Linked DNA regions of Nothobranchius furzeri. Each later gene encodes a partner of the first gene's protein in a complex. Links are inferred from orthologs where the notes say so. Each region holds a gene or a part of one and is shown on either strand. Other genes may lie near its edges.

The links.
Region 2: e2f4 (region 1) and mybl1 share a complex: the UniProt entries of both Homo sapiens proteins name them as parts of the DREAM complex. The link is inferred for Nothobranchius furzeri from reciprocal best matches to the Homo sapiens genes E2F4 and MYBL1.
Region 3: e2f4 (region 1) and rbl1 share a complex: the UniProt entries of both Homo sapiens proteins name them as parts of the DREAM complex. The link is inferred for Nothobranchius furzeri from reciprocal best matches to the Homo sapiens genes E2F4 and RBL1.
Region 4: e2f4 (region 1) and rbl2 share a complex: the UniProt entries of both Homo sapiens proteins name them as parts of the DREAM complex. The link is inferred for Nothobranchius furzeri from reciprocal best matches to the Homo sapiens genes E2F4 and RBL2.
Region 5: e2f4 (region 1) and lin52 share a complex: the UniProt entries of both Homo sapiens proteins name them as parts of the DREAM complex. The link is inferred for Nothobranchius furzeri from reciprocal best matches to the Homo sapiens genes E2F4 and LIN52.
Region 6: e2f4 (region 1) and tfdp1a share a complex: the UniProt entries of both Homo sapiens proteins name them as parts of the DREAM complex. The link is inferred for Nothobranchius furzeri from reciprocal best matches to the Homo sapiens genes E2F4 and TFDP1.
Region 7: e2f4 (region 1) and mybl2b share a complex: the UniProt entries of both Homo sapiens proteins name them as parts of the DREAM complex. The link is inferred for Nothobranchius furzeri from reciprocal best matches to the Homo sapiens genes E2F4 and MYBL2.

Annotation. Positions count from the first base shown.
Region 1 is NC_091744.1:86,783,010-86,787,159, forward strand, and holds the start of e2f4 (transcription factor E2F4), read right to left. Parts: upstream 2,916-4,150; 5' UTR 2,782-2,915; coding exon 2,620-2,781; intron 1,480-2,619; coding exon 1,370-1,479; intron 464-1,369; coding exon 302-463; intron 1-301. UniProt on the Homo sapiens protein: Transcription activator that binds DNA cooperatively with DP proteins through the E2 recognition site, 5'-TTTC[CG]CGC-3' found in the promoter region of a number of genes whose products are involved in cell cycle regulation or in DNA replication.
Region 2 is NC_091747.1:51,691,730-51,695,924, forward strand, and holds the start of mybl1 (myb-related protein A), read right to left. Parts: upstream 2,840-4,195; 5' UTR 2,219-2,839; coding exon 2,196-2,218; intron 781-2,195; coding exon 681-780; intron 537-680; coding exon 465-536; intron 323-464; coding exon 230-322; intron 1-229. UniProt on the Homo sapiens protein: Transcription factor that specifically recognizes the sequence 5'-YAAC[GT]G-3'.
Region 3 is NC_091743.1:73,525,369-73,528,533, forward strand, and holds part of rbl1 (retinoblastoma-like protein 1), read right to left. Parts: intron 2,354-3,165; coding exon 2,166-2,353; intron 2,051-2,165; coding exon 1,874-2,050; intron 1,337-1,873; coding exon 1,265-1,336; intron 1,189-1,264; coding exon 1,101-1,188; intron 1-1,100. UniProt on the Homo sapiens protein: Key regulator of entry into cell division. Directly involved in heterochromatin formation by maintaining overall chromatin structure and, in particular, that of constitutive heterochromatin by stabilizing histone methylation.
Region 4 is NC_091744.1:80,482,545-80,486,650, reverse strand, and holds the start of rbl2 (retinoblastoma-like protein 2), read right to left. Parts: upstream 2,856-4,106; 5' UTR 2,638-2,855; coding exon 2,500-2,637; intron 2,434-2,499; exon of another isoform or gene 2,381-2,433; coding exon of another isoform or gene 2,342-2,380; intron 1,913-2,341; coding exon 1,782-1,912; intron 1,703-1,781; coding exon 1,502-1,702; intron 1,294-1,501; exon of another isoform or gene 1,171-1,293; intron 1,036-1,170; exon of another isoform or gene 962-1,035; intron 1-961. UniProt on the Homo sapiens protein: Key regulator of entry into cell division. Directly involved in heterochromatin formation by maintaining overall chromatin structure and, in particular, that of constitutive heterochromatin by stabilizing histone methylation.
Region 5 is NC_091758.1:32,967,527-32,971,853, reverse strand, and holds the start of lin52 (protein lin-52 homolog), read right to left. Parts: upstream 2,902-4,327; 5' UTR 2,819-2,901; coding exon 2,800-2,818; intron 1,558-2,799; coding exon 1,483-1,557; intron 1,408-1,482; coding exon 1,370-1,407; intron 1,276-1,369; coding exon 1,209-1,275; intron 1,027-1,208; coding exon 943-1,026; intron 1-942.
Region 6 is NC_091754.1:25,779,372-25,783,652, reverse strand, and holds the start of tfdp1a (transcription factor Dp-1), read right to left. Parts: upstream 2,816-4,281; 5' UTR 2,588-2,815; intron 1,332-2,587; exon of another isoform or gene 1,207-1,331; intron 926-1,206; exon of another isoform or gene 779-925; intron 457-778; 5' UTR 384-456; coding exon 372-383; intron 108-371; coding exon 41-107; intron 1-40. UniProt on the Homo sapiens protein: Can stimulate E2F-dependent transcription.
Region 7 is NC_091743.1:41,536,646-41,540,825, reverse strand, and holds the start of mybl2b (v-myb avian myeloblastosis viral oncogene homolog-like 2b), read right to left. Parts: upstream 2,855-4,180; 5' UTR 2,671-2,854; coding exon 2,651-2,670; intron 2,260-2,650; coding exon 2,163-2,259; intron 2,089-2,162; coding exon 2,017-2,088; intron 1,933-2,016; coding exon 1,840-1,932; intron 1,751-1,839; coding exon 1,530-1,750; intron 1,427-1,529; coding exon 1,294-1,426; intron 1,205-1,293; coding exon 1,145-1,204; intron 1,070-1,144; coding exon 863-1,069; intron 565-862; coding exon 292-564; intron 1-291. Other genes in the region: uncharacterized protein, read left to right, coding at 3,832-3,865, 3,936-4,180. UniProt on the Homo sapiens protein: Transcription factor involved in the regulation of cell survival, proliferation, and differentiation. Transactivates the expression of the CLU gene.

The DNA.
Region 1 (4,150 bases):
ACCATGACATAACTAGCAATTTATGCTAAAAAAAATAGACGAGAAAGCAAAATTAAAACATCAAACTCTCACTGAAACTTTGAAATATGACTAGCAGTGAAACATTAAGATGTCTGGCTTTAAATCATGTGAAAAGTCACAACTTTTTACAGACTGAGTGATAATCTGTGTGACTTTTAAGTGCAAAATTGGTCGAATACCCCTTTAGGTGACCAGGTGCTCACAGTCCACATTATTACAAAACTCTCTCTTGAAAAAGTTTAAACATCCGCATGCACGCACACACAGCAGTGAAAGATATGGGCTGTTGTTGGAGTCGTCTGTGACATTCTTGATGCTTTGTTGAACCCAGACTCTTTGCTGGTCCAGCTCGTGTTCCCGGACAGCCAAGTCGTCTAGCTCAGCCTTTAGATCAATCAGCTTATCTGCAATCTCCCTGGTGTTGCAGCCAGGGCCGACACCCCTGAAACACATTGGTAAGCACGTGGTCATTCACATTCAACAGGCAAAGAAAACTCGCCGTCAACCTTTTTCCCAGCATAAACGATGAACTTGTAGCCAAAACAAGCTGCAGATAGATTCATCTCACGTCTAACTCAGGTAGAAGACATGCTAATCAGCCATGCTCATAGTCATTTCCCTTACGGCATTGTTTTATGTATGTAGGACATTAAAGAGCAAGTCACCCCCAAATCAACTTATTTTCTGATAAACTACATAAATGCGTGTCTAATCGTGCTGCAGACACGTGTAGTCAATAGTTTTGCACTTTAGTGCATTTTAGTTCAAATTTAAATTTTCTGCCTAAAACTGTCAGTGTTGTGCCGTTGTCAGGTAAAAACTCTGCACTGTATTTGAATTTAAATCTGTCATCGCTATTGGCTAAGAGGTACCCTAGAATGTTAGCTGGTTCCATATGATGTCACAATGTCGTTGTGATCCTGTGTGTGTTTGTTAGCGGCTCCACCCTCTCGGTCTGCTAGGCAACAGCATTTGTTGCATTTTTCAAACAGGAAGTGGGAGGGGAGTAAGAATCTGGTAGGGGGTGACTTGCTCTTTAAGTGTTAAGGACTGCTGCAAAACCTCAAAGTCATAAATATCCTCAAAGTATTGGCATATGATATGTTAGTATGATTACATATAACAAACATCACTACAGTTTAAAAATTGAAAGGTGAGGCTCAGACAATCGTGTTCAGAAAACTGCAGCCGATTCAGACGTAATCCCTGTTACATAAGACAATGATGAAAACATGAAGGCTTGATGTTTCATGAAAACATGAAACATGAAGGCTAAGAACAATTTATTACAGACTGCAGTTATAAATTCTAGTCTTTTCATGAAGCCATACATACAAATAAAACTTACTTCCATTGAATACTGTTCTTAGATTTCTTCTCTATAAGACCAATTCCTTCCAGGACATTAGTAATGTCGTATATACGTCGTTTTTGCCGCACTGCCAAGGTATCTGCTGCCTGAAAGAAAAAGGACAAATACAATGAATAAAATATGAATAACAAACACACATTTGGCTCTTTTGCACAGAAAATGTCATGGCTGAGTGTAAAATACACAAAAAAGATATATTTTACAAACCATCTGGGTGTGACATCTACACTTCCTGCCCAGCCAAGTCTTTGGGTCTTAGGAGATAAAAACAATTTGCAAGGAGCTGATAAGTCTAAGCTTTTTCAAATAGCTGGACTTAAGTCAGTTGGACTGAACGAAAGAGAAAGAAAAACATCTGAGCGTCTGGTATTTTATGATCTGCAGAGTGCAATGCAACCATAAGTGCCCGCAGCCAGGAAGCTAGTTTATGAAATTATGAAGTCAAGTTAATCTAAACACCACCTGGTTTACTAGACTTTGGCTCAGAGGTGGCACTGTGTTTATAAATGTTTCTGTTTTGGAGCATTACTAATCTGACAAGTCTGAGGTATCTGAATTCAGATGTTTGTCAGGACATGTGTATTAGTAGTACTGCATCAAATAAGTAGGTTAGTTCTCAGCATCTTGACATTACTGAGGAGGCATATCCACTACTTCTACGTGTTTAAACACAAAGATTTGCACGTTTTTGGAATCGGACTTGATAAAAACCAATAAGGAGCTATGCTGCGTTTGTGTACCTAATGGAAGTGGGCAGGTCTCATTAAAAAAACAACACATTTAAGATATTTCCTAAAACTAACGCAGTGGGGGTGCTTATCGTTCAGAGAGAAAAGGCCATACCCATCAGAAAAAAGAAACTGCTCAAGTGTGAAGATGCCACACTATGTTACTAGCAACAAAAGCTGACCCACTTTTGAGAGTTTGAATCTGCAGGGGGCAGAGCGAGTCTGAAAAGTTGGCCGGTGTTGTTTTCAAAGTTAATTTCACGTCTGACTGAACGGTTCGTGTCTATGGGACGCTAACACACCGAGTCACCAAAATAAACAAAGTTAGAGTATCACAAATGTTCAAATACTGTAAACCCCGAAGCTAACAGGTTACATCCATTCAAATTAGCATGACAGAGCTAAGCTAAGCTAATATGCTAGCGAAAGTAACGACAGCGGGTAGGCTCTGTATGACATGTGCTAGCTGACAACAAAGACTCCGGGTTGAATGCTCACAGCTTTCAAATCCAGCACTCCGTCTTTCGCCTCCTGTAGCAAGGTCACGAATTTGGTCGTGAGCAGTCCCAGGCTCTTTTCATGCCTGCTTGGGGTCTGTGGCTGCAGCGAATCTCCCACCGCTCCCGGGTCGCCTCGGTTACTAGCCGACTCCAGCTCCATCACTCGGGACAAGCTCCGTACTTCCCCCCGCTTCCCCGACCAGTTCCAACCCGCGAGCACAGGAGAGCTCCACCGCCGGAGTCGAGTACACAGCAGCCCGAGATTGCGTGGTGGTGTTTTTTTAATCCGTGTGGATTAGATTAGAAAATAGTTGCCCAAATGTATCTGAACACGATGAGTGCTGTAATTCAATGAGCAGGCAGTCGGTGGTAGAGAGCCGTTGGCCACGCGAGGTATGACGGGACGGTTCAATCGTACAAGGGAGTGTCTGAGAATACTCACGTTGTTTAGAAGACGTGTACAAAAATAAAATAGTGGCTGCTTAATTTAAAACAAAAGTTCATTAAAATTAGCTGGTAAATATTTTATATTACAGATGAGTTGTATCAGAATATGTTTGCATTGTCTTTACGTATTGGTTGCATCCATTAAAATTATGAATTATACGTATTTATTTAATACTACAATTTATGTGCTTACCCTTATCTACCCAAACACGCACACGAACAGACGCGCACTTTTACGTGCGCAAAAAACCCCACTAAAGTCTGCACGTTCTTAGTAGTTCATTTGCATGCAAATTAATTGATTATGTTTCGTTATTATTTACTGTAATTTTGTTTGTTAAATTTTTACTTTATTCTTCGTGTCAGTTGGACCAAGAGATGAGCAAGACTCAAGTCAAGGCCCGGTCATTTGTTTTTCATCACATCTACGAATTATTTACACAAAACCCAGCTTTAAACGTCCAGGAAGGCATATTTTTGTTATGGAGATGTGACAAGCTGTCATAAATGAAAAGAAAAATATCATACACGGGTGTTGCCATATTACTTAAACAATGCATTGGTACATCTGCTAGTTACAAAAGAATGAATCATATTCCATTAATTATTTTCTTATCCTATAATAACCAAGTTATTTTGCAGTATGGTTTTGACACACACTAGTTGTCAACCTTCCGTACTTTAGCTTTGTGTACAGTGTATAATTATTGTCTTTCCAGAACTGCGCTGCTCTGGGCGGCTGCATGTTGGAGTTGACTATGTGTAAGTTTTGCCTTTTCTTGGGCATTTTTCTTCTAGTTTCTCAAAAAAAACTGTATTTTTTGGACACTTTACTTTTCTGTTTCTGGTGCTGTGAAGCTTGGAGGATTTTTACTGCTATGTTTTAGCTTTTTTCACTTTTTGAGCATTTGTTATGATGCGTAACTATGGCAACAAATGGTTTACAATCAGGAGCAGCTGATTAACATTGGAAAGGCTGAAATATTACCTCAACTGAAGCCACAAATCCCAAATGAGCTAAACGCAAGAAGCGTGGGTGCAGAGCGGGAGCAAAACGGAGACAGAGAAAGAGGAAATTCAAA
Region 2 (4,195 bases), on another chromosome or scaffold:
ATGGATATTTCACTTCACACACACACACACACACACACACACAAATAGGAAAAGGGGCGGGTGGGGGATAAATAAACCCAATTTAAGCGGGAAAACAGCTGCGTGAGGACACAACAGGTTCTCTGAGTGTCATAGATATTACGTTCTTCACAAACTCCCTACAGCTCTGCTATCCTTCTGCTCTTTAGTCATCCCTCTCTCCCAAACAGAACCTCCCAGCTCCACTTACCTTTTGATCCTCCTCTTTTGTCCACGGTCCTTTTACCAGCTCGGGGTTGAGCACCTTCTGCCAGCGGTGCTGACACTGACCATCTGTCCTCCCCTGTGACACAAAGTGTAACACCTTTTGTCAGCTACAATGACAGCTGTGTTTAACTGTATCTTTGCAGTTACACATCCAAATGCAGCTGGTGCAGGTAAGAGTCAGAAGGAGATATTAAAAATGATTTCTGTTTAATACTCACAGGAAAAAGGTTAGCGATTAATTTCCAGGATTCAGTTCCATGCTGCTCTATGAGTTTCTTCAGTTTTTCATCCTTAAAAAATAGAATAACAGAAAATATAGACGGTGAGAATTAAATGTTAACCCTGATCTTTCTAAATGAGGGTGCAATTAAAGTTGTTCTTACATATTAGGGCGGCAGTCATTTACATTTTTAGTCTGAACTTGAAAAACTCACTTCATCCCGAGACCACTTGACTTTGCACAGCGTCTTTTTATCTTTGTTCTTTTCTTTACTCTCTGGATCTGTGGAAAGCAGCTCGTCGTCTTCATCAGTGCTAAAACACACAGGTGAAAAAAGCAGAAAAAAGTAAAAACACTATTGTTTTCTGCTCACCATCAGTGCCTTAGGAGTGTTTTCTTCTCAACAACTAAACCAGGTCCCATTTCAGTTCTTCACTGCATTCTTGGGAGATTACAAAAGCCCAGTTTTACCATGCTAAATCTAATTCAGAATGTTGGCATTAACTACTTGTTTGACCGGATTTGTGCAACACTGACTTAGGTTTTGTATCTGAGTAAGAAAAAAAGACGTTCTTTGCTGTAGAAACCTTTATGAGGCCAGATTTTCTCACTTTGAGCAGGAGAAAAGTGACCGAGTCTGGACGTAAAGTCGAACAGGAAGGAGAGGTGTAATGAAACTGGTGATCTCGCATCAACAGCAGCCTTTCAGTAGCAGAGGTGCATGAGAGTGAGCCTCTGTGAATAAGGTGGAGGTGTGGTCAAAGGCTTGGCAAAGCCCTAACGGTCCACTGGTTCAAAATACAAAATAAACACACTAATATAAAGTCCTGGCATTTAGCTTAGCATAATTTTAAATCACATAGCAATACCTGGAATACTTTTTACCAATAATATCAAAATGTCCTAATTTTTTAGGACTGAAACTGACCCTGATAAACAAAAGAAAGATTTCAGTGATGATTTATATTTTAGTTGCGACAGTTTTGCTGGTTATTTAAATTAATAAAAAATCAAAAAACAGTTTAACATGATCATTTCAACAATTTAGTTTGTTTGACACGGTTTTGTGAGTTAGATGCCAAAAACACAGATTTTCATAATCAGTAACCAACGAATAAATACAGCAATCAATGTGACATTTTGCATCATAATATGGCAACATTTGATTAGGAATCACATGACTCAAGTATTTACTGCTTTTGGTTTAAATTACTTCTCAACTCAGAGACAGAGTACATTAAAAGAGCTTCATGGACTTATAGGTTTATTTCTCCACGTCTTTTTTGCCCTGCAGTAAAAAAAAGGAATGAAGGGGGGAAATAGTAGTAAACTGCAGTATGCACTTTAGTCTTGCTTTTTATTCATTTATGTTGATGTATTTAGCAGACGCTTTTGTCCAAAGTGACTTTCAAGTTATAATAAAGTCAGCAGGTTATCCTTGAGGCTAACAAAAATATTTAGGGTTAATTCAGCCAGTACTACACTTTTGGGTAATGCTCTTTTGAATTATTATGCTATTATTATTATTATTATTATTGTTGTTGTTCTTTATTATATCCCTCTACAGTAGATCTTCTGAGATGTTCAGGTGCACATGAACGTTAACGCCCACCCTGCTTCCACAACATTCAGGCTGAATTATCCAAAATTATTACATTTATAGGCTGATAAGATCACAAGGGGCAAACAAAAAGATGGCAAGTGAACCATATCTAATAAAATCACCTACCTGCGTGACTTGACGTTGTCCATAGCCAGTAGGATGATTGAATATTATCAAAGACGAAGCTGTGTTTGGAAATTTTCTGAAGTCCCGCATTAACAGAGGTTTATCCATAGAAACTGATGTTAGTCATTGCTGTTTTGTTTGCGGTAACTGTGCGGCTAGCTAACGGGCTAACTGTCTTCATAACATTGCTCTCTGTGCAAACGCCATTTTCACTTCCGATAAAATCGTCTCGGCAGATATGAAAGTCGTCCTTGTGTCCCTTGCTGGTACGTCTTTCTTAAAAATGTAGTGTTACACAACAAAACGCCGGAATTTAGATAGAGGAACCGACACATTACTTTCATTACTCGCCGTCAGAACGGGTTCTCGTAATCTTTCCCCTGTGCGTACAGCTCCGTGGCGTTATGATTTTTGTCCATCCCGCCGATTCTCGCGCCCAGCCCTCTGCGCAGGCGGCCTCGGTTCCTATTGGTCAAAACTGGGCTGCCAAAAAAAAGAAGTGAATGCTCAAAGCTAATAGGTCAATTGAGGAGGAACTGTTCGTAACCGATTGGTTGAATTTTTCACGAGCGTACTCTTCATTGGATGAGATTTGAGGGAGGCGGGTGTTCACTTTCACAACTCCTCGGGAGAATGGATGTGGTGGGTTCAGACGGGTTGACGGGGCTGCGGGGGCTTTGGTCCTTTGGGGATGTTGGTGACAGAAGATGTGGAACCTATTTTCCCATAAAACAAACATTTGCACATTTAATCACTCATATCTTAAACATATAGCTCCTCGTGAAGTTCTTCGCAGATCATGTAGGGTTCGTGTGCAAAACTGTGAAATGTATGTTGCTCATAATTGGCATGATAAAACATCTGTGACTCAAAATATTACATCATCTTTGTGATATAATAATATTTGCATTGTGTTTGAGAGCGAACTTTCTCTGCCGCCTTAAGAAACTGGAATTTGCTGCCATCTAGTGGGCATTTAGACTTTCACCGGTGTTTTTCCCATTTTCCCCGTGACATGCAATCTTAGCATTAGTATCTCTGAATTTTTTTTATTGCAGTGGTTAGCAGACAAACTATCTATAATAACAATAGAAAGTTTTCTTTTGTTCCCCTGTAAGCCTTTAAAATTTTGGATGCAAATTATGAGACATTTTACAGTTTTCTAATAGTAGGTGTCCCTCATGTGTCCCATTTTCACTGTTAGACTACTGTGTGCTTCTTAAAGACGGAAAAGCGGAAGTAGGATCGTTGTATTCTGATGAAAATAAAAGCCTCTTTAATTCCACTCACGTTATTATAAATAATAATTACAATAACAATATGAAATAATAATAATAATAATCAAATTATACTGTGCGATTTCACACAATTTTGAATCTGATTACAAAATGAGCAATTTCCTATTGCATCATAATTGCACAAGTATTTTTAGACTACCAGCATAAAGATAACAGCGACTGAATTAAAGCTTGTTTGAATTATGCAAAGAGCTTGTTAGAAATCAGAGTAATGGCCTAAAATGCTGCAGAAAGACTTGGATTGTAGCTGCAAGAAATAATACATGTGTGCATATATCTGTTTTTGTAAAAATCATAATAAATAAAGACATATAAATATACATAAAATGTGTAAAAGACTTTGTTACCTAGTTTTATTTTGAAATAAAGAAAATGTGGTTGATAGAGTATTTGGCTGCTGGTATTAATATTTGGAACCTTGTGCAGGAAAAACACACAAATTCCTGCTTCTCCTGACGTTCATGAGAGGTGAGGAAATGCTTTTATTTGTGTGTTGAGCTGTTTTTTGCTTCAGGTTTAATATTGTCCTGATTTTTTAATATAGTGTAACACAAAAGATTATTCTTATAGTTTGTCTTGTACTTCTAGCCTATATACTTTTGTTTTTTTCTTTTGTCTGAATTTATTTGGAAATCCACGTCTTTCCATTTGTAGTTAACCCTATGGTTGTTTGCTTTTTACTTGATGTGACGTGTGACTGCT
Region 3 (3,165 bases), on another chromosome or scaffold:
TAATCATATAGGCGCATTCTGAGCTGAAGACAATGTGAGATTCTGGGCTTCTCCTCAGACGGCCCCTGGATGTGTCGCCACACTGGAGACAGGAACAAACGCTATTCAGCCAAAGTTTCATCATCAGGGAACATTTTCTAAGAGTCCAGCTCAGATGTTCAGATGGGAATCTTTTCTTGAGTGATTTAGCTACATCTGTGATGTGCCTAACGAATAAAATGTCAGTTCGTCTGCATGCGTTGGGGTAATTCTTTCTATTCTTTCTCCGTCAAACAAACGGCCAAATACGGAAACTGTCCGGTCAACACAACACAAGCCCTGCTTTTAACTGTTCTGTTTTCTGGTGAAAATTGTTACAAATTTAACTTGATTAACACCAGAGCCAGGCGCACTGCGCCGTTATCTCCGTCACTGTAAATGAGGGGAAAACAAATTGATCGGATCCTTTTCTGACCTTCCCCACCTACAAAGTTTAATTACAACAATCAAACGTGACAGAGCCTGGATTTGTATTCTGAACAGTCTAAACATGTTTTAAAAAGAAACGTACAACAAAAGTGGCACCTGCTCAGTAAAACCACCAACAGGGTGAAAAATATCAAAATACTGTAGGCAGAGACGGGCTACAACTTCTGGATCCATTTTATATAAATCATTTTATTGATTATCTTCTTATGAAAGACAGCTTTTATGTACACGAGCGACCGGTACTGGCTGCTGTCACCTGTTGTGATTGGTTAAAGCAGCTCTCTGCTGTCTGAGGGTAGGCCCCGCCCACAACGTCGCGGCTGCTGTGGCTCCGTGTTTTCTTTACTGTGGGAAACGGGTAATAATGGCTCTTTGATGGGAACAGGTTGCCGACCCCTGGTCTAATCAGTCATCTATGTATTATTTTATGCGACGTTCATGATGAACCCTGATGAACTTTGCTGGCCAAACCTGGAAAATCATTTGTTAATGTTTATGTATTTAGTCTGAAGAGGCAAACATCAGTTTTCTAGCTAAATAAAAAAAAAAAAAAAATTGACCTATATTTTTGGCTAAAATGCCTTTAGAGGAGATCTAAATGTGTTTGTATGGAAGCGTGTGTCTGATCTTACATTCTCCACCCGACACAGCATCCACCTCCATGTTCTCGTCAGCTGGCTGCGCTTTGGGAGTCCGCCGTAACAAGACGCTGCGGTAAACCTGATCACACAGACAGCGTAAGCCTCCAGCAGATGCGAGGTGTAACTTAGATTTCAGCGGTTTTTGTGTTTCTCACATGGCTGCTGGCTTGGGGCTGGCTGCGGTAACACTTCATGATGTCCTGGAAGGTGTGAGTCTCTTTGGTGATCTGAGAGGAGAGCATTAAAGCCGTGCTTAAAGGAACATAAGTTACACCAGCTGATCCAATAACCGACCTGCCAGGATTTTTAGCATAACCACAGAGAGCAGAATCCTTTTAATTCATAAAATCTATAAAACGAGCAGCTTTTCTATGTTTGATAACAGGAAGTTGCACCCAGGGCATCAAGGACAGCTCGCTTTTATTAACCAATACACATTTTTGGTCTGTAATATTTTAGTGGAGGCTTTTAAACTGACAGCAGAAACTCACTGGCAAAAAGGAGCCCAGACTGGCTGATGTTGTTCGTCATATAACCACTGTTTGGATCTCCTCATCATTAAAGTGAATCCCAGAGTCCTCAGTCTGACTAGTTGTGTGTTCGGCTGACTTCATTCAGCCTGAGAAGACGTTTGGTTCTTGGTTCGTTAACGTGTTGCAAATAGTTTCTCTACGATCGCGCAGAAGCTGCTGTTCAGTGAAACACTCTGCTGGCTGGCATTTTCCTACACAGCTGCTTCGTTAACTCTTAGTTATCGTTCTTACTTTGGATATTATATAAATGCTGCACAGCAGCAGCTGGTCGAGATGTCGATCCTTCATCAGCTCAGTGCAGTGAACCAGCGCGTGCTCAAAACATGTCCAGATTTTTCCTCGCAGCTCTGAGGAGATTTCCAACTTCAGGCACAAATCCCTCAGGCGTACACTGGCCAGGTGATACACCTGGAGGGAGGGGGAGACAGAGAGAGAGAGTTAGTCAGAGGAAAGACAAATGTCCAGCAGAAGATAAACAATCATCGTTTATTTTTTTAAATAAACAAGTGAAAATCTTTCTCACCTTCCTGAAGAACAGAGCGATTGACCCGGTGCATCGAGGCCGCCCGTTCCCCATCTGAGGGTCAGAGGTCGAGGCAGCAGTGAAGTTCCGGCTCGGAGAGGCGGTCAGCAGAAACTGAGCTGTGACGACGCCAGAAGAGTCACACGGCTGGACTGGGATCAGTGTAATGGTACGGTCGCTGCTCACGCCTGAAAATATTCACACAAGAACAGATGCTGCAATCAAATTCACATTTTATTAACCTCCCAGGAGCTTAGCTGTTGTAACCTTTGATTTATATATACTGTATATATATATTAGGGGTGGTACTTTAACGTTAATTATGATCAATTAATTAGAAAACAATTATGTGTTAAAAAAATTCACACATTTAATCACAACTTGTATTTCAAGCAAGGCGGAACCTTTGTCCTTGCATGATTTCCTCGTAGAGCGAATATCACTGACACACAACACAGTGCTCTGATATAACGGGTACTAAAACAGAAAGAAATCGTCTCGCTTGGACCAATGCAGTATTTGGGAAACACGTCACCCTCTTCTCTTAACTTGTTAAAAACAAAACCTTCCTGACAACTACGGAGTCCGTGTCGCGGGCAGAGATCGTCTCTGCTGCTGCTGCTGCTGCCCGGTGGCACCGGAAACTTTACAAAAGGTGAGATAAGCTATATTTTTAACATTTATGTAACATTTGTGCAGCTTTGAGGGCACTTTTTCCCGAACGATTAAAATGCGACTAATTAGAAAGCCTCTAATTAACTAGATTAATTATATATATATTATATATATTATTATTATATTATATTTTTATATATATATATTTTTTTACTGAGAAGCAAAACATTTTTTGTGAAGATAATCAAGTTTTGAATCAATAATCCTAAAAATAGCAAAAAGAATGATTAAAAATAACAAATCCTAAGTCAGATGTTCAGAGCTTTATGCTGAGGGTCAGTTACTATCATTTAATTACAATAAAACAAAATTCAGGAGTTTCATT
Region 4 (4,106 bases), about 6.3 Mb from region 1:
AAACTGTAAACTAGACTTCCTACTTTCTAACGATCAGCCAAAGGGATCTTCACATGCGCGGCGCTCCAGCAGTAATGAGTTGAAATCACCGGGGCACAGATTATGAACTCAGCTGAGGCAAAGCACGTCAGAAAAGCACAAAATACCAGAGAACATGCGCTGATATGAACGATCGCAAGTGAATTATTTTGTTTTAGTGGAGCGATTTTGTGAATATAACAGCGGCCGCGTGCAGGACGCAGCTGAGCCGTTACCGCTGCGTCCTCTCTGCCCGCAAAGCTGAGTCCATAAATGACGTCATATATGCAGATACTGGATCTTTCTTCGGGTTTCCCGTAATTTGAATTTTTAAGGAACACGTCTTGATTCTGGGTTTAAAAATGCATTGTAATTACCGCGTTACTGACAATTGTACCGAGTAAATATTACCATTTTCTTTCCCTGTAATGCCTTACATTACCACATTACAGCAAAAAGCAATGCATTACAGTAATTAATTACTTTTGTACCGCATTACTCCCAACACTGCTTTTAACAGCTTCTAAAGATTGTTCCCCGATTTTGCAGCTATAATTGTTATATTTATAATTACAAAGTAAGAGAGACGTGGTTCGCATAATTTAGCTAATATCAGTCCACAATGCCGCAGGCTCGGAGTGAGTGTTGTGTGTGTGACGATGTCACAGATGGGTTCAGGTAGAGTTAGTAATCTCAGCGCTGATGCAAAGTTGGAGGGACACTGAGGAGCAGCTCCTCCTGCTGCAGACCTGACCCGGATCTGAACTGGTTCTGAGTCCGGTTCTCATTAAAACATGTCTGATTCTGGACCCTGAGTTAGTTCTGAGAGCAGTCAGATCTGTGTTATTGCCGTGTTATAAAGCACATGAATTAGACAGTTAGTTTTGTACATGATCTAAGTTACTAACCTCCCACAACAACGTGATGTTATTATTGTTTTCAGGCTAAATCTACCAAAGAAACCAGACTGATGTAGTCCTCCACCAGCCTGCACCGGTCCAGGCTAGAGCCTTGCAGGTGAGTTATTTTTAACCATCTGTCTCTCTTTACCTTGCAGTTTTAACATTATGTCATTTTAGCTTACCGTTACACACGTGTATTGCTGCTCTTAAACACTACGATAATATTTGCAATTTCTTTGTTTTTCCGTAGCCTCCCAGCAGCAGCGTGTCTGACACTGGGACCATGATGGGAACTCCACCCAGAGATTTGTCTTACAGCTAATTTTATTTGTGTCTTTAAATTATAATCTGATTTATGTTGTCACTCCTGGAAAGAACGCTGAATTACTTCTATGCCTGAAATGTGCTATACAAATAAAGTTACCTCGCCTAAGGAAAGGTCAAAGGTCATCCTAGTTAACAGTTCAATTCTGTGTTTAATCTATGGGAAACTAAATCTTGCAAAGGTGATTTCAGCCAACCAGACCCAGAACAGGAAGCAGGTGGACTCTAACGAAGGGTCGGAGGTCACGTGGACCCACCTCTGTTTGCGACTGCGATGGACCCGAAGCAGCTCCTCTGATGGGGTCTTGAAGATGGATCTGAAGATGGGAACGTACTTCTTGAAGATGACGGCTGAAACGGTGAAGTTCCGCTCCAGCTTGTCGGTACTCTGACAGAAGTCCTGTGGCAGCTTGGCCATGTCCTGCCACTTCTTCATCTTACTGAAGAACTCGATGAGGCTGGAAGAACATCAGAACCGCTCAGCAGATCCCGTCACATGACCTCCTAGCAGCCGAGTTATGGACCAAACACACAAACCTGATGTGAGAGCAGCGCAGGACTCTGGTCAGTGACACGTAGTTCCCCTCAGTAGTCCCCTTCCCCACCGTGGGCACCGAAGACCTGCAGGCCACGTAGAGCGCACAGGCCAGCCAGTGCAGCTCGCTGCCCTGCACACACAACGGTTCTGATTACTGCACCAGCTGGTTATGGGTTAGGGTATAGGTTCGGCATAGTGGAGTCACTAAAATGAATGGAAGTCAAAAGAGGTCCACATAAACATATAAATACAAGTGTGTGTGTGTGTGTGTGTGTGTGTGTGTGTGTGTGTGTGTATTTCAGGAAAACAACTACACATACCGGCCTAGGTCTATCTGCCTGTCTATTTAGTAAGAGAGAGGAGTATTATATTATTGTATGCATCTCCATCTCTCTACATATATCGAGAGAGAGAGAGAGAGAGAGAGAGAGAGAGAGAGAGAGAGAGAGAGAGAGAGAGAGAGAGAGAGAGAGAGAGAGAGAGAGAGAGAGAGAGAGAGAGAGAGAGAGAGAGAGAGAGAGAAAACACCTGAAGTCATAGCTCAGAAGAAACACCAGACCTCATTGGTGCTGCATCCAGAAAAAGGAGATGCGTGCATCTGCAAAAGGCTGCTGCCATGTTGAACGAGGCGGTTCCTGCTGAGTTGGAGACCTAGATGACATTTCATGTCAGACGTTTTGGCCCGAATGGACCGAACCCTCACCAGCACCTGCTTACCTCCAGAGTGAAGTTCCTGCTGATGTTCTCGTAGCTACTCCACGCTTCGGTACTCGCCTCTTCGTCCATGTTCAGAGCTCGGCACAGATCCTCGAACCTGGTTCGGATCTTCACAAGGCGCTCCTCCTCGTCGCTCATGTTCGTCTTCGGGACCGAACCGAACCGAACGGACAAAGCGCGCCTTTAGGGTGGAGCGGACGAGGCTGGCGCAGTTGTAGCGGCAGTAACGGCGTTATTACGGTGCTGCGCGGATCGGCTGTGTAGCCATTTAAATGTCCTCTGACAGATGCGCGAGCTGTGACGTTTTTGACGTACACAGCGCAGCCAACCACGGAGGGAACGTCACATGTGTGCGTGCATACGTTAGAGAATCGCGGCAGCAACGTAACTCACCCCAGCCCACTAAACTTGCGTAGCGTAAGCCAAATACAACTACTTCCGGTTGCTCTTGTTTTCTGACGTCCACCGAAACGCCATCAAACTTGATTGTTTTTAAAGCACGTGACCGTTAGCGGTGCTAGCCAACACGACTCAGCAACAAAGCGTGGCTCTGGTGCTCAGACTGGTTCTGTTAAGCTGCTCGTGAGTCCCTCATCAAGTGTTACATGTTTGAGGTTTGGCCCACAAGGTGCAGTAACAGCCTTTTACCAGTAGGTGGCGCAAGGAAGCCTGCAGAGAGCCGTGACGTCTGTTGTTTTATTTCAGCTAGGACTTTGTTTTAAAATGGGAAAATGTATTTTGTTTTTTTCGCAAGCACAGAAAGGAAGATGTATACTTTGTTATAAATTTGTTAATTATTCTAGCTAAATTCTATCTCCACAAATGCAAGTATAGTAACTAAAAACCTAATTTCAAGCACTATTATAGTGACACTCTATCTTACATAAAATTGATTAGTGGATCACTAAACAAAAAAGCTTTAAAAACTATAACTATTTGCACCACCTATAATTTATTTGGATGTGTGTAACATTTCTGTAGTGCACCCCCTGGCATATGTTTCATCTTTGTTCAATTTTGTATGCAATTTGTTTGTATACTTATCACCTTGTTCAATAAAGTTTTGAAAAAAAAGTCTGTTATTTTATTTTGTTTAATTGTGCATGCAATTTGTGTGTATACTCATCACCATGTTCAATAAAGCTTTTATTTAAAAAAAGTCTGTTATTTTATTTCCTGCTTACTCCTAGGCCCATCTGTTCAGGACTCTGGTACCGCGGTACCTATTACACACCAGCTAATAAGCCCTGGTTATTAAAGACTGGGTTGGACTAATCTTACTTTAGTGTTTATTTCAGGTGATGAGGATCAGTCAGGACGGGTCCAGACTGGTTTGTGCTTATGCACCAAACTGCTGCAGCCTATACCCACTTTTTTTGGAGTTCCTGGAGGAGGTTCTCGAGCGTGCTCTTTCTGGTTACTCCCTCGTTGACCTGGGTAGTGATGTGACATTCATGAATGAATCAAATCTTTTGAACGGGTTTTCAAAGTGAATGATGAGAGCCGAGACCCTGTAGAGAGCCGTTCATCTTAACAAACCTCTCTGGAAGTCGGTCAGACTCACCCGCTCAAACCCCACCCACCGCTGACGGACGTGGGAGGAACCA
Region 5 (4,327 bases), on another chromosome or scaffold:
TGTCCCGTCATCCCCGAGTACATGACATGACTGCAGAGGCTGCGGCCCTGCACCTATGACAGCTAGCGTCTTCATACCAGAGCCACTACACACTTCCTCTGCTGGAGGCAAGGCAAACAAATCATTTCTAAAATTAATTATTTCACAAAATGAATCAATCTGATTTCTGCAACATTAAAATATTGATTTGCTTTACCACCAAATGTAGATCACTCTGGGGTGATTTTTTTATTATAGATGAACATTTTCTTGTTAAAGTGGCATTAAAGTTTTATTAAACCTTCTACAAACTATTTATTATCATTAAAGAACCGACATCATGGCTGCCATCTACCCTGCTGTTTAAACTCACATTATTTTACACAATTTGCTACCATTTCAGTTTATTTACACATGTCGCTGAAGAGGAGGTGTACAACGATTCTCTTACGCTAGAAACATTAAAAACATTTTTATCTTCTTTTAGGATAATATCAGCACTTAGCTACATCTCTCTAATCCACACTCCAGAAGGATTATTACAATGGAGGCGGGAGGGAATGGATTAAAACAAGAGCTTGTGCATCCATCATATTCTTGAGCATTTGCTTGTGTGAGCTCTTGGTGGCATGCACTCATTTCTTACTTGTTTACATTTAACAAGACTGACCTAAATCCTTGTTTTAAAGATCTTACGGCCAACCTGTTTTATGCAGACTCTAAATTACAATTGCACTTTCAATAACATCTACTCTGATTTTGAATAATAAATAACATCCATGTGATTTTAGCCTATTTTGAACAAACAAAAAGTAAATCTGATTCTGCAACTAAACGTAGTAGTGGAAAGGCTACTAGCACCACCTGGTGGTGATAGACGTAAACAGCTGATTGGGAAAACTAAAAACTACACGAACACATCACAGCCTATGTTTTCATGTTGTTTGTGTGTTTTGTACTTACACTCCTCTAAACCCAGCTGGTAAGCCAGGTTCTGAAGTCCTTTGACCTTCTCCATCAGGTTAGCTGTTGTCAGACTACCCAGCTCTGCAGAGTGATTACAAGGCAAAGATTTTAAGCTCCAGTTTGATCAACTCAGTTTCTCCTTGACAAGATTATATATTTATGGAAACACTAACCAGTACAACAGTTTTAACATGAAACGCTGCAGGCACAGAGAAAATCTTTCTAATTAAACATATATTAAAAAAAAAAACAATTGTACCAACCTTTTAACATCTCGATGTCCTCGCTTTCCAATTCAGCCATCCACTTAGGGGGTGAGCTTGTAATGGGCTGTAATAAAAATAAATGATATTATACGGCAATGCCAAATCTAAATGATTATTTAATGTATTAATCTCAGTTAATGACAAAAAACGTATCTTACGTTTTTATAGGATGCAGCAAATTCTGCAACTCCGGGTACTGTGTGAGAAATGACAGGACAGATAAGGTTAAACTGTGGGACCATAAAGAAGCACAGAGGAGATGAAAACTTACACTGCTCAGGCCACAGGTCTGGTGACGCTCTGTCCAGCTTTTCTAAACTAAGCAAAGAGCTTTCAAAATCATCACCTGGCAAAGAAAAGGAAGTAAAATTATGTTCAGAATTCAGGCAGAAATTTCAGAGCTTTAGAACAAAATGTGATCTTCTTGATGTAAATACAAGTAAAATGTGTGACTTATGGACCATTCCCATCTGTACCGGGTCGGCCCGGGCCGGGTAGCCCCAGTCGGCCCCATCCTGGCCCGGTTGATTCCACACATCCTTGTCTTACGCCCATGTGGGCTGATTCTACCCACCAATCAGAGGCTTGCTCTAATGGAAGGTGTGAATTTGCTGTCAGCAGTGGGTGTGTTGGCCCTGGTCGGCCTGAAGCAGACCCCCTCGAGAAGAGGGCTGAGAATGAGCCTTGGTTGGTCCGGAAAAATACCAGGCCACCCAGATATGTAAACAACCAACGCTACCCGGCCCGGACCGACCCGGTACAGATGGGAATGGCCCATATGACTACAGCCAAACAAATGTCAAAATGTAACCACAACAGTTAATACAATATGTTGGCTGTATTAAAACAAAATATGTGTACAAGATAAATACTGATTAATCAGCTGTTCTTAAAAAAATTACTAATATTTGGGAGGTTTAGTTTATTTATCATACCTTTCATTTTTAAATGTTGCTTGATTCAAGTCCCTATACAACCATTTCTGCTAGGCTGTGACAACAACTGTGTGCTGATTATTCAAAAACTATTCTTAAAACCAATATTTAGTGTAACAATTTGTGTTAGCATTATGCTTCCTAATACATGACCCTACATAGTGTGTGTGTGTGTACATATATATATATATATATATATATATATATATATATATATATATATATATATATATATATATATATATATATATATATATAACCTTTCAAAAACCTTTCAAAATATGTTGATGTGAAACAAATAATGCCTCAAAATGTTGGAAAAATGTCGTAAATATTAATTATTAGGCCAGTATTTAACAAAGAGGCAACTCAAAAGCTAGTAGTATTTAAAATATCAGGAGTTACGGAAGGTCTGCAGCCAGCTGTCTACTGTTCTTCCTTGAACGTTGGTGGACTAACAACACCGGGGCTAGTGGAGCCTTCAGTCAAACAAAACCACCTCCGAGAAGTCGGACTACAACGCTGATATGTGTAGTTCTGAATTCTGGGTGTTCAGCTACATCATCAATACATTCGTGGAATAATTTGTGTGATTTAAAGTGTTAAATTTTACATTTTTTAACAGCGTATCTGTGTAAGGAATTAAAATTTACCTCCATTCGGAGACGCCATCTTCACAATAATCACGTGACCCGTGACAACGAATAGGAGTCAATGTTGACAAAGCCTTGTAAATTCACAAACACACCACAAGAGGTCACTCTTACACACCAAAGCCGTGTTCCTGGGGGTAAAATGAATAAACTAATAATTTTATAATAAGTGTCAGGGGCGATCCTAGCATCAGAGGTTTAGGGGTGCTAAGCACACAGCGAGTTCCATGGCCAGGCAAGATACATTTCAACATTTTGTACAATTTTACACAATTTCATTCCAACATTTGTGAAAGAAAAGAAAATCGGTGTTTTTACAAATAGATCTGTGGTTTTACATATCACAATCTATGTTGAACAGATTTTGCTATCTGTGTACAACAATTTGGTCCAAGTTCGAAGAGTCTGGGTCAGTGGTTCCCAACCCTTTTTCTTTGATGACCCAATACAGGATCTATTTTATGGTTTTTGGTGCAATATTTTCTAACAGTGAGTGAAAGTCCGTTTTATTTATTTCTTTTTTTTGTTTGTTTGTTTTATTCATTTATTTAGAAGTTCGATTCTGAACATTCTAATGTTAACAAGAGTTTTATTTGCTGCATTTTAAAGGGTGTACTTGCATTATTATGATATATTAAAATTATATAAGTGATTATTTTGGTCTCGATAATGTCAACAATAATATTGTTTATTGGCAATAATTTGTTGGACAATATATTGTCCTGCAAAATCTGTTATCGTCCCAGGCCTAGTTCACTTGTACAAACTACTTAAAAATTAAAAATCAGCAAATCTATTTTATTTTTCTGTGTACAACAAAATTTTAGCTATTAGCTATAGCTGGGGCTATTAGCAGTTAAAACAGAGATGGATTTTTTTTAAGCTTTATTAAAATAAGAGGCTAAATATTCTCTTCAGAATGTCTAAAAGGAACGTGCAGTACCAGATTTCAGTTGGAAATTAGAGTGTCGTTCTATTTATTGCCAGCGGAGCTAGCAACTATATGTGATTGAATTTTTGAAAAATCTAAAGAGGCTAAATATTCCCTTCTAAATGGATTTAAAAATCGGATGTGCAGTATCAAATTTCAGACACTAGAGGGCAGCAAATACTCCCTTCTTGTCTGCATGCAGTTGGAAACCTGTGTTGTTCTGTTATTTGCCAGCAGAGGGCGCACATTCTCCATTCTTTCAACGAAACAAGTGTTTTAAAAAATAGAGCAAGAGTTTCTACTAAGTCCGTCTTGTAAAAATCTATTTAGACAAAGAACAAAAAGAACCCATATTCAATTTGGTTACTTGTTTCTTAACTTATAAACTTTCTAAATAAATTATATCACTTAAAAGTAATGCAGGTTTTAAATTAGTGTTAACAGCATAGTCAAAATAATGTGAAAGCCAGACGTTTTCACTTAAACCTATTAAAACTCAACAAATCTATTTATTTTCTGTGTTCAACTGAAACTTTGTCAACGAACTACAGCTGGAGATATTAGCAGCTAGCAACTAAACATTACAATTTCTTTTAA
Region 6 (4,281 bases), on another chromosome or scaffold:
AAAATAACAAAAACAAAGTCAAAAGATGGTTCAGTTATACCTTTGCTAGGGCTCAGATTCTGATCGATGAAAACCTTCAGCTCTCCATTTGTTTCAATCAAACCAGCCTGTAAAAGACAAAACTCATTATGCTGCAAATATAGAATATTAAAAATAATATAAGATAGTAGTGATGCAATAATGGATGCTTAAGTGTGCATATCTCCTTAAATTACACCAAATGGGTAATTGGATCATTTTGCAATTTGGGTTTATTGTCAAACATTAATGATGGTTTAGAATAATAGGTATGCTAAAACAACAAGAACCATCTCATCTGGCTACAAGATATAATGTGCATATGGATGAAAATATTGAGGGAAATTACTCACATCTTTAGCCATGATCCCAAAGGACCTGAAGGAGTTTAGTTCAGATTAAAAAATTGTTCCTTCTGTCACTCAAGTGTTCAGACCCCTGCAGAAGAAATGAAAGCTGTGAGCAAAAGTTTCAAGCTTCACTTATTTATAACATTTTCCTATAAATCCCCACGGCACAGATGGATTTGAATGAGCTTTTGCACTCATTTATGAACCCAGGCCCATTTCAATGGTTGGCTATGAGCACAGCACACTACACTAAGCTAATTCCATCATCATGTTTACTCCACTTTTTCCTCAGTTAGCAAAACAAACCTGGCGGAAATTACAGCTAATTGTACAAACCGCTGCGTCATTAGCCTTTAGATGTAAACACAAAAAAGCACAGTCAACCCTCACTTGATGCCCACAACTTTTACCAAGCTATGTGTGCACAAGGCCTACTTCAGGTACCGATCACGTCCGGAGGAGAGGCATCGTCCAACTTCTGCTACAGGTCACGAAAACGTGCCAACTTTGACGAAACTGTTGATTTTTCTCCACGGAGATTAAAATATAGTTACAGATAGTAAATCAGTCCACCACAGAAGCAGGTTTCACACCACATGTCAGTAATAATGAACAATCTTTTGTTGACTACAGCCGGCTAACCGTTACTGCTAACAGCCTGCTGCTCCTTAGCTTGCTAGTTAGCTTATGCACGTTTTCACACGATTGGCAGAAAATTCAGAGATTTCTGGTCCGAGCTGCAGATTATAGCCTTCTTTAAGTAAGAACTGATATTGGAAAAAAGCACTGCGCGTTTTGCACGATTAGAGGGGTTTAAATTGCGAATCCGTGCACTTACGAGTGCACTCTCTTGTCTCTTCGACGGCTGTTGTTGTTGGCATTAGAGAATGGAGGAAGAGGAGGTCTAAATCCCATCCAAACAGGAAACAAACTCAGCAATCCTAATGTACTTTTAAAACTATTTTATTCATAAATCAAAGTTATTCCTTTAAAGAACTTAAGCATATGATTAAAGAGTTGTTTTTCCTCAGGTCAGTTTTTTGTCGCTATGTCAAAAACTGATACCAGGATTTGCCTGTTGGTCGAGTCTGGCAGCTGACTAACCATTAAACATCATTCATCTCATCAGAGAAACTGATCACAAAAGCAAGCAAAATGAGCTGTACAACATTTTTGTCATGAATATAATGCACTAACCAGTTTTCAAGTTAAATTAAACCTAACATTTTAAAACTGCATATTATGGTAAATAAACAACAGTATGTTAACAGGTACTACATTTCAATTTAATAAACATACAACATAATGTGTGGATCAAGCCCATAGATTTGATCTACATTTCTTCTAAAAGGAGTTCATATTAAAGTAATTAAGTCAAAGAAGTGAATAAAAAACTATATTGACACCATTAATTCAGGGACCTGGGCCTGCAAAAGGAATCAGTTGAAATAGCAAATTTAATATATAATGTTAATCGGAAATAAACAAGTTATACAAATGTAAAGTAATTTTATATTTTGGGATTCCGCAATTATCTGCTACAACTGATCACATTCTCTTAAACGTTCTCAGTAGTTTTGATCTCATTCATGGGCCTCTTGGTCACAACAACCTAGTAAATCAGAACAAAACAAATCTAATTAATCGATATTTTAGCTTTTTGTGCAAAAAGTACACTTTTGAAAAAGTTAAAAACTTCATTGAAATGTTTCAAGCCAATTAATCACGCTTTAAATTTTTATTTAAATGAATATGTGGCTTAAACAAATAAAATTTGTTTATTTTAATTCGTTACAGTAAAAGAAAGTGAAAGCTCTTTCTACATTCAGATGAGTTACATATTTCAAACTTCATGTCTGCGGACTATTTAAACAAGTCCTGTTGCATATTCTGTTTAGTAAGTTATAACCGTGGTAATAGAAACCATGACAAGATCGTTAAGTAGATCGATGATCAACACTTCGCTAGTTAGCAACTGGTTATCAAAGCTACGAGCTAACTCGATATCAATGAGAAATCGCAACCTCCAGCGCTTTGTTAGCCCACTAGCTAGCCAGCAAGCTAACTACCAGCTGTCATCGAGAAAGTTTACCATTGTTAGCTTCGTGTGATATCAACACTTTTTCATGTCGACCAAGACATAAAGGCCGTTTAAACACTTGTATATGAGCTCTGGTCTGCGCCGGGTGGGAAGCCACCCTACAGTGGATGCATCTTACCAGAGCACTTCACGTTAGCACACCGTCAGCTAGCCTTTCCACGGCTCTCTGCTAGCCTGTCGCTTTCAGCAGTGCCTCTCACAATCTGATCTTGGCGGCGTCTCGCTACAGCGGCGTCTGATTGGACAACACTGGTGTGACGTAACCATAGCAGTGACGTGAGTCGTGCCCACAACCTACTTCTCCTGGGATTGGTGGAGAGCAGGCAGCTGCAGGGATGCATTTACCGCCATCTGTTGCGCAGGAGTAGGAGGAGGATTTTTCATTAGTCGCTATTATATCTACCAGGAATAGTTTTTAGGCCTGTCACTTTTATTTCCTCTTTAATTCGATTGAAAAAAATACCACACACCACACTGAATGATGCCAAATTTCAGCTGATATATCTGAATAGAATAGAATAGAATAGAATAGAATGGAATAGAATAGAATAGAACAATCCCACAGTAGGGAAATTCACTTGTTACAGCAGCACCAACACTTAAGAGAACAATTTGATTTAAAAAAATAACAAATACATTTGCATACAATGTATACAATTGGAAGGCTGCCTTTCCGTGTCTTGGCCCATCACTTGGTCAGATTATCAATGGGAGCCTCTGCACAGGTGTGGTCCCAGCTGCTTTGAAAGCAGCAGTTATTCGGCCGACCCTGAAGAAACCTTATGCTGATGTCTATGTGATAGAAAATTACAGGCCTATCTCTACCCTGCCTTTCACATCAAAACTGCTTGAGAAAGTCGTTTATCAGCAGCTGGTCTCACATTTAGCTGACGCTGATCTGTTTGAGGTTTTCCAATCAGGGTTCAGGTCTGGCCATAGCACAGAGTCGGCTCTACTGAGGGTCCTAAATGACATCTATCTATCACTAGATCAGGGTACATCTGTGGTGCTTCTGTTGTTAGACCTGACGGCAGCCTTCGACACAGTTGACCACGCGATTCTACTAGATCGCTTGGAACGATGGGTTGGGATCAAAGGGTCTGCTCTGGATTGGTTTGGATCTCCACAACAGAACATTCTGCGTTAAACTGGGTGATGTTTTTTCTTCTTGGGAGGGGCTCCGCTGGGGGGTCCCGCAGGGATCGATCCTTGGTCCTCTTTTGTTTGCCATTTATCTGCTTCCTCTGGGGTCAATCTTTCGTAAACATGGCCTATCATTCCATCTCTATGCTGACGATTGCCAGATTGATGCTCCATTGTGTCAGGAGAAAGGTCACTATATCCAGTCCTTTGTGTCCTGCATTAACGAGGTGGAGTCTTGGCTAATGGCCAACGTTCTGCATCTGAATGAGGGAAAGACAGAGCTCATTGTTTTTCACCCCAACAGCAGGAATGTGGATCGTCATGTTGATCTTGGCCCTCTTTCTCCCTACTCAAAACCAGTTGTCACCAGTTTGGGGGTGAAAATTGATGCTGGACTTAAATTTGATGCACACATCAACTCTGTGATCCGGTCCAGTTTCTTTCACCTGAGACGTCTTGCTAAAATCAAGCCTATGCTGTCAAGAGCCCACCTGGAGTAGGTACTGCATGCATTTGTAATTTCTAGGCTTGATTACTGCAACTCTCTATATGCAGGTTTGTGTCAGTCATCAATGTGTCGCCTACAGGTTGTGCAGAACAGCGCAGCCAGGTTCCTGACTGGGACCAGGAAACAGGACCACATCAGTCCGGTTCTGACCTCCCTGCACT
Region 7 (4,180 bases), on another chromosome or scaffold:
TTAAGAGGGTGGGGTGTATTCGTTTAGTCATGTGACCGTGATTGTAATCATCTCTTCAGCTTTAATGTGTTCATTCTATGCAAAACCTGCTGATTTTAGAAGCACTGATGTCAGTATTTGGATATCGGCCCAAAAATGTCATATCGGTGCATTTATTTCTGTCCTGCTGCCATTAAGCCTCTTTTAGGCGAAGAACCGAAGAAGTTCAGTTGCCTTCATCAGACTACCATGACCCGGATGACGGAGACGTGTAACCAGCGTCGGTGCCGTCAGCATGGAGCTTTTCCTCACCTGTGACGGAGAAAAGGGCAGGATTTTGACAGGGGTGCTCTTTGGAGTCATGGACCGATTGACGTCTGGAGACAGGGCGATGCGTCTCCGGCTGCGGCGGGACAGAATGGAGGGAGGGGTGATTCCTCCGGGGGAGATGGGGATGAGTTCTCCCTTGCTGCACTTGCTCAGCTCCTGCAAGGCGCTGCCCTCCAGACGGAACTGGTGGCGCTCGGGGCTGGGGCTGTCCTCGGGCAAGTCGAAGGCTGCCAGGTTGCACCAGCCGTCCAAGTCCTCCACCAACAGGAGATATCGTTTTATTTACAAGTCTGGTATCCGCTAGATTTTACAAAGAGTCGACTAAATAGAATAGAATAGAATAGAATAGAATAATCCTTTAAAACAACACGGACAGAAAAAGGCACCACCTGGATTTAACTGCTGCACCGGTGATCATCTTTCTGCTGCAACTGGTTATTTAACTAAACCGGAGCAACGAGTTGCTTCTCATTTCTTATAATCAAATACGATTAAACTTTAGTTAGTTTCAGAGATGCGTTTGTTATTTTTCTGGTGAATTATGGGTATTTACCCCGTCTACCATGTCCAGCACTTCCTTCAGCACAGGGCCTGTAGGGTAGAGGAAACCAGAGCTGTCCACCACCCAGTTGGAACTGTTCGTCTCTCCTGTGGAGTCCACATCGGTCTTGGGGCTTGACACGTCCTTTAGAGAGGAGACAGCCCTGGACGACTCTGCTTCGTGGGAATTCTTAGCAGGAGCCGATGGTTCCTGTGACTTCTGTAAAAACATAAGGACTGATGGCTGATGCAACATTTAAGCTCATAGTTTTTAATAGATGCGATGATTTCTTACTAAAAGTCGGACTTTTGAATCCGTTTCTTTGTCCGAACCATCCTGAGAGCATCCAGCGACCTGTTGGTTCACCACAGACAAGATGTTCGAATCAGAAACACGTGAGACTGCTGCTGATGTAGGAGGCTTGGTGGAGGGAGACGACCCACCAGCACGTCTTTACTAACGCGCGCCAGCAGCTCCTCCAGCTCGTTTGCTCTGAAAACCTCGCTGGCGTAGAAGCCCATCTCCAGCTTTCGTTTTATAGTGGAGTTCCAGTGATTCTTCACAGCATTATCCGTCCTGTTAAACGATGTACAAGACCTTTCAGCAGAAGATTCAGCTTCAACCACAAATCAGTGCATCCTCCCACTTGTTTAGAAAACAGGAAGCAACATTTTCCGACCTTCCAGGAAGCAGCTTGGCGATCTCGGCCCAGCGGTTTCCAAGCAGACAGTGGGCCTTGTAGATGATCAGGTCCTCCTCAGCAGTCCACGATGACTTCTTCACGTTGGGGTTGAGGTGGTTGTGCCAGCGCTCCCTACACTGCTTTCCCAGTCTGCCCTTCAGGTGCTTGGCTACCATCGCCCACTGTTTGTTACCGTAGAGATTAACAAGCTCTATGACCTGGAAGAAAAACAAACAATTCAGTTGCATCTTTTTGACAATCTCAAGAAATATTCTACACTTGATCCACAACACGAAACGCAGCCCACCTTCTCATCCTCCTCTTTGGTCCAAGGACCTTTGACCAGTTCTGGATCCAAGACCTTCAACCAGCGGTGCTGACACTGGTGCTCGGTGTGAGTCTGAAGAATGCAAAGAGAGGCACGAACGAGCTAAAGGAGTGACTCGAAGACGGTAACACTAAAGACCAGAACAGCGGGACTCACTGGGATGCAGCTGGCAACACGTTTCCAATCATTCTGACCCAGTTTTAGAACCAGCACTTTAAGCTTCTCATCCTGTAAAGACAACCCAGTGTGTTCAGGTCTGCTGACCCACAACGACGTGATCTGGGACAAGTCAGCACACTCACCTCCTCCTGAGTCCACTTCACCTTCACCTTCCCTCCATCCCTGGGCTCGGCCACATCAGAATCAGTGTCCTGATGCATGGCCTCGTCTGCATCCTCGCTGAGAAACACATGTGCACAGCTGATTAATGAAGACACCAGGAGTTAGCCAGTGCCCGCCCTAAGGCCATACAGGCGGGGGGAGGCTAAACGAGCGGACTTGCGCGTTTTCATGGTTATATTATTTATAATTCACTAGCTACAACCAACAGTACTGCTGAGGGCAGGACAAGGATTCATTTGCTCAGACTTGTTGTTCGTGATTACAGCCCGGAAAAGGGCGGCAGTCGTGAGTCACAATTCCAACAATAAAACTCCTCCTAACGTGTTTCCCTTCCGCTAACTGCAGCTGCAAATGCATCTAAGCTAGGCAGTAACGTCCAGACATCAGTAGATTAACAAGTTCTGCTACTGTCAAAAACAACATCCGGCAACAACGATCGATCTCTTACCCGCGCGACCACGAAGACATTTCTCTGCTTCACTTGTTTACTTTGTCACACGGCGATATTCCCTCCTTCCGCCGCGCGCGCACAGAGGTGTTTACGTTGGAGTGGACCGTTGTCCCGGTGTGGTTCTGAGGGGCCGGCGCTGGAGGTTCTGTGTACCGACAGCAGCAGCCGCTGAGCGCCCATTCCGACCGCGCTTCTTATTTCTATCTCGCGCCCTTCACTCTCGTTCGACCAGAGCAGTGACGTAGATGCGCACCAGATCTGCGCGGTCGAACCAGTCAGGCGCAGGAAGATGTCAAACTTCCCACCAGACTTTCAAAATAAAAGAACGAGGAGCGTAGCAAGCTTTTGTTTATTCTAGAAATTTCACAATTTCTCTCGAAACTTCTTAACTCAAAAACAAGAAACACGTTTCTTCAATTGTCCTTTCTTCTGATTAATCCTAGTATATTTATTTATTTTATCCACTTAATGTAATTGGCTTGTAATCAATATATTTAGCCAAATATGTGATTTTCCTCTGGAGGTCAAATTAAAAGGCACTCCCTCTGTAAGTGTAAAAACAATATTGTGGTAAAATATAAACACTAAACTATTCCACTATGAAATCTAACATATGCTATACCTCTATTTCTTTCTCTAACTTGCCAGATAACCCTTTTATCAATGTGTCATGTTTAATTAAATGAGTCCTAAATACTCGCCATAACTTTATTTAAATATATTTACTTTGTGGTGAATTTGAGTAAAAGATCAGGGACAATAAGCTATGGAACCAATCGACAGAGGTGTCATTAGTATCAAATTGTTATAGATGTATATAAACTTGCATAAAACTGGACAGAAACCAAACAAAGACCTTTATTATGAAACTTTGAAAATAAATATAATTAATCACCAAGATATGAGACACAAAGAGCCTCTTGTGGCCCCAAGTTGCAGATTACTATGATCATGTGCTGTAAATTTGTCTTGTTTTCTTTTCAATAAAGATTTAAAAGCCATTCTAATCATTTTATAAATGAAACAGTATTTTTTAAAGCAGAACTGCAAACACACATCGGCCCAAACAGAAAACGTTTCCTCTGATCCCGACTGATGAGCAGCCTCCAGCTGGGCCAATTAACAAGCAGCTTCAACCATTTAAAGCCACCTGCTGCTGGCCAGGTGTTTGAAGACCAATGGACACCATGGACAAAGCTTTTGTTTTTAAAGGTAAGCATGCTGGTGATTTTGTTGCTACCTTTGATGAGAAGCTCACATTCTTAACTACTTATCTTTCTAGATCTGAAAAGCTTTGAGTGCTCATCTCCATCAGAGCTGGACAGGAAGTTCTTTGGAGAACAGGGTTTGCTGTCTGCTTTGTCTTTGGAGTACCTGTCCCTCTCCAGAGCATCAAATGAAGCTGTAGCGAACAGATCTGAGGGCAGAGTATCTATCCTGGCTTCCCTCTGTCTGTCAACGGATCTCCTTTCTCCTTGTCGGGGGTTTTCGTTTCTGGGCTCCGGCTCCAACACACAAGAGGCTGAT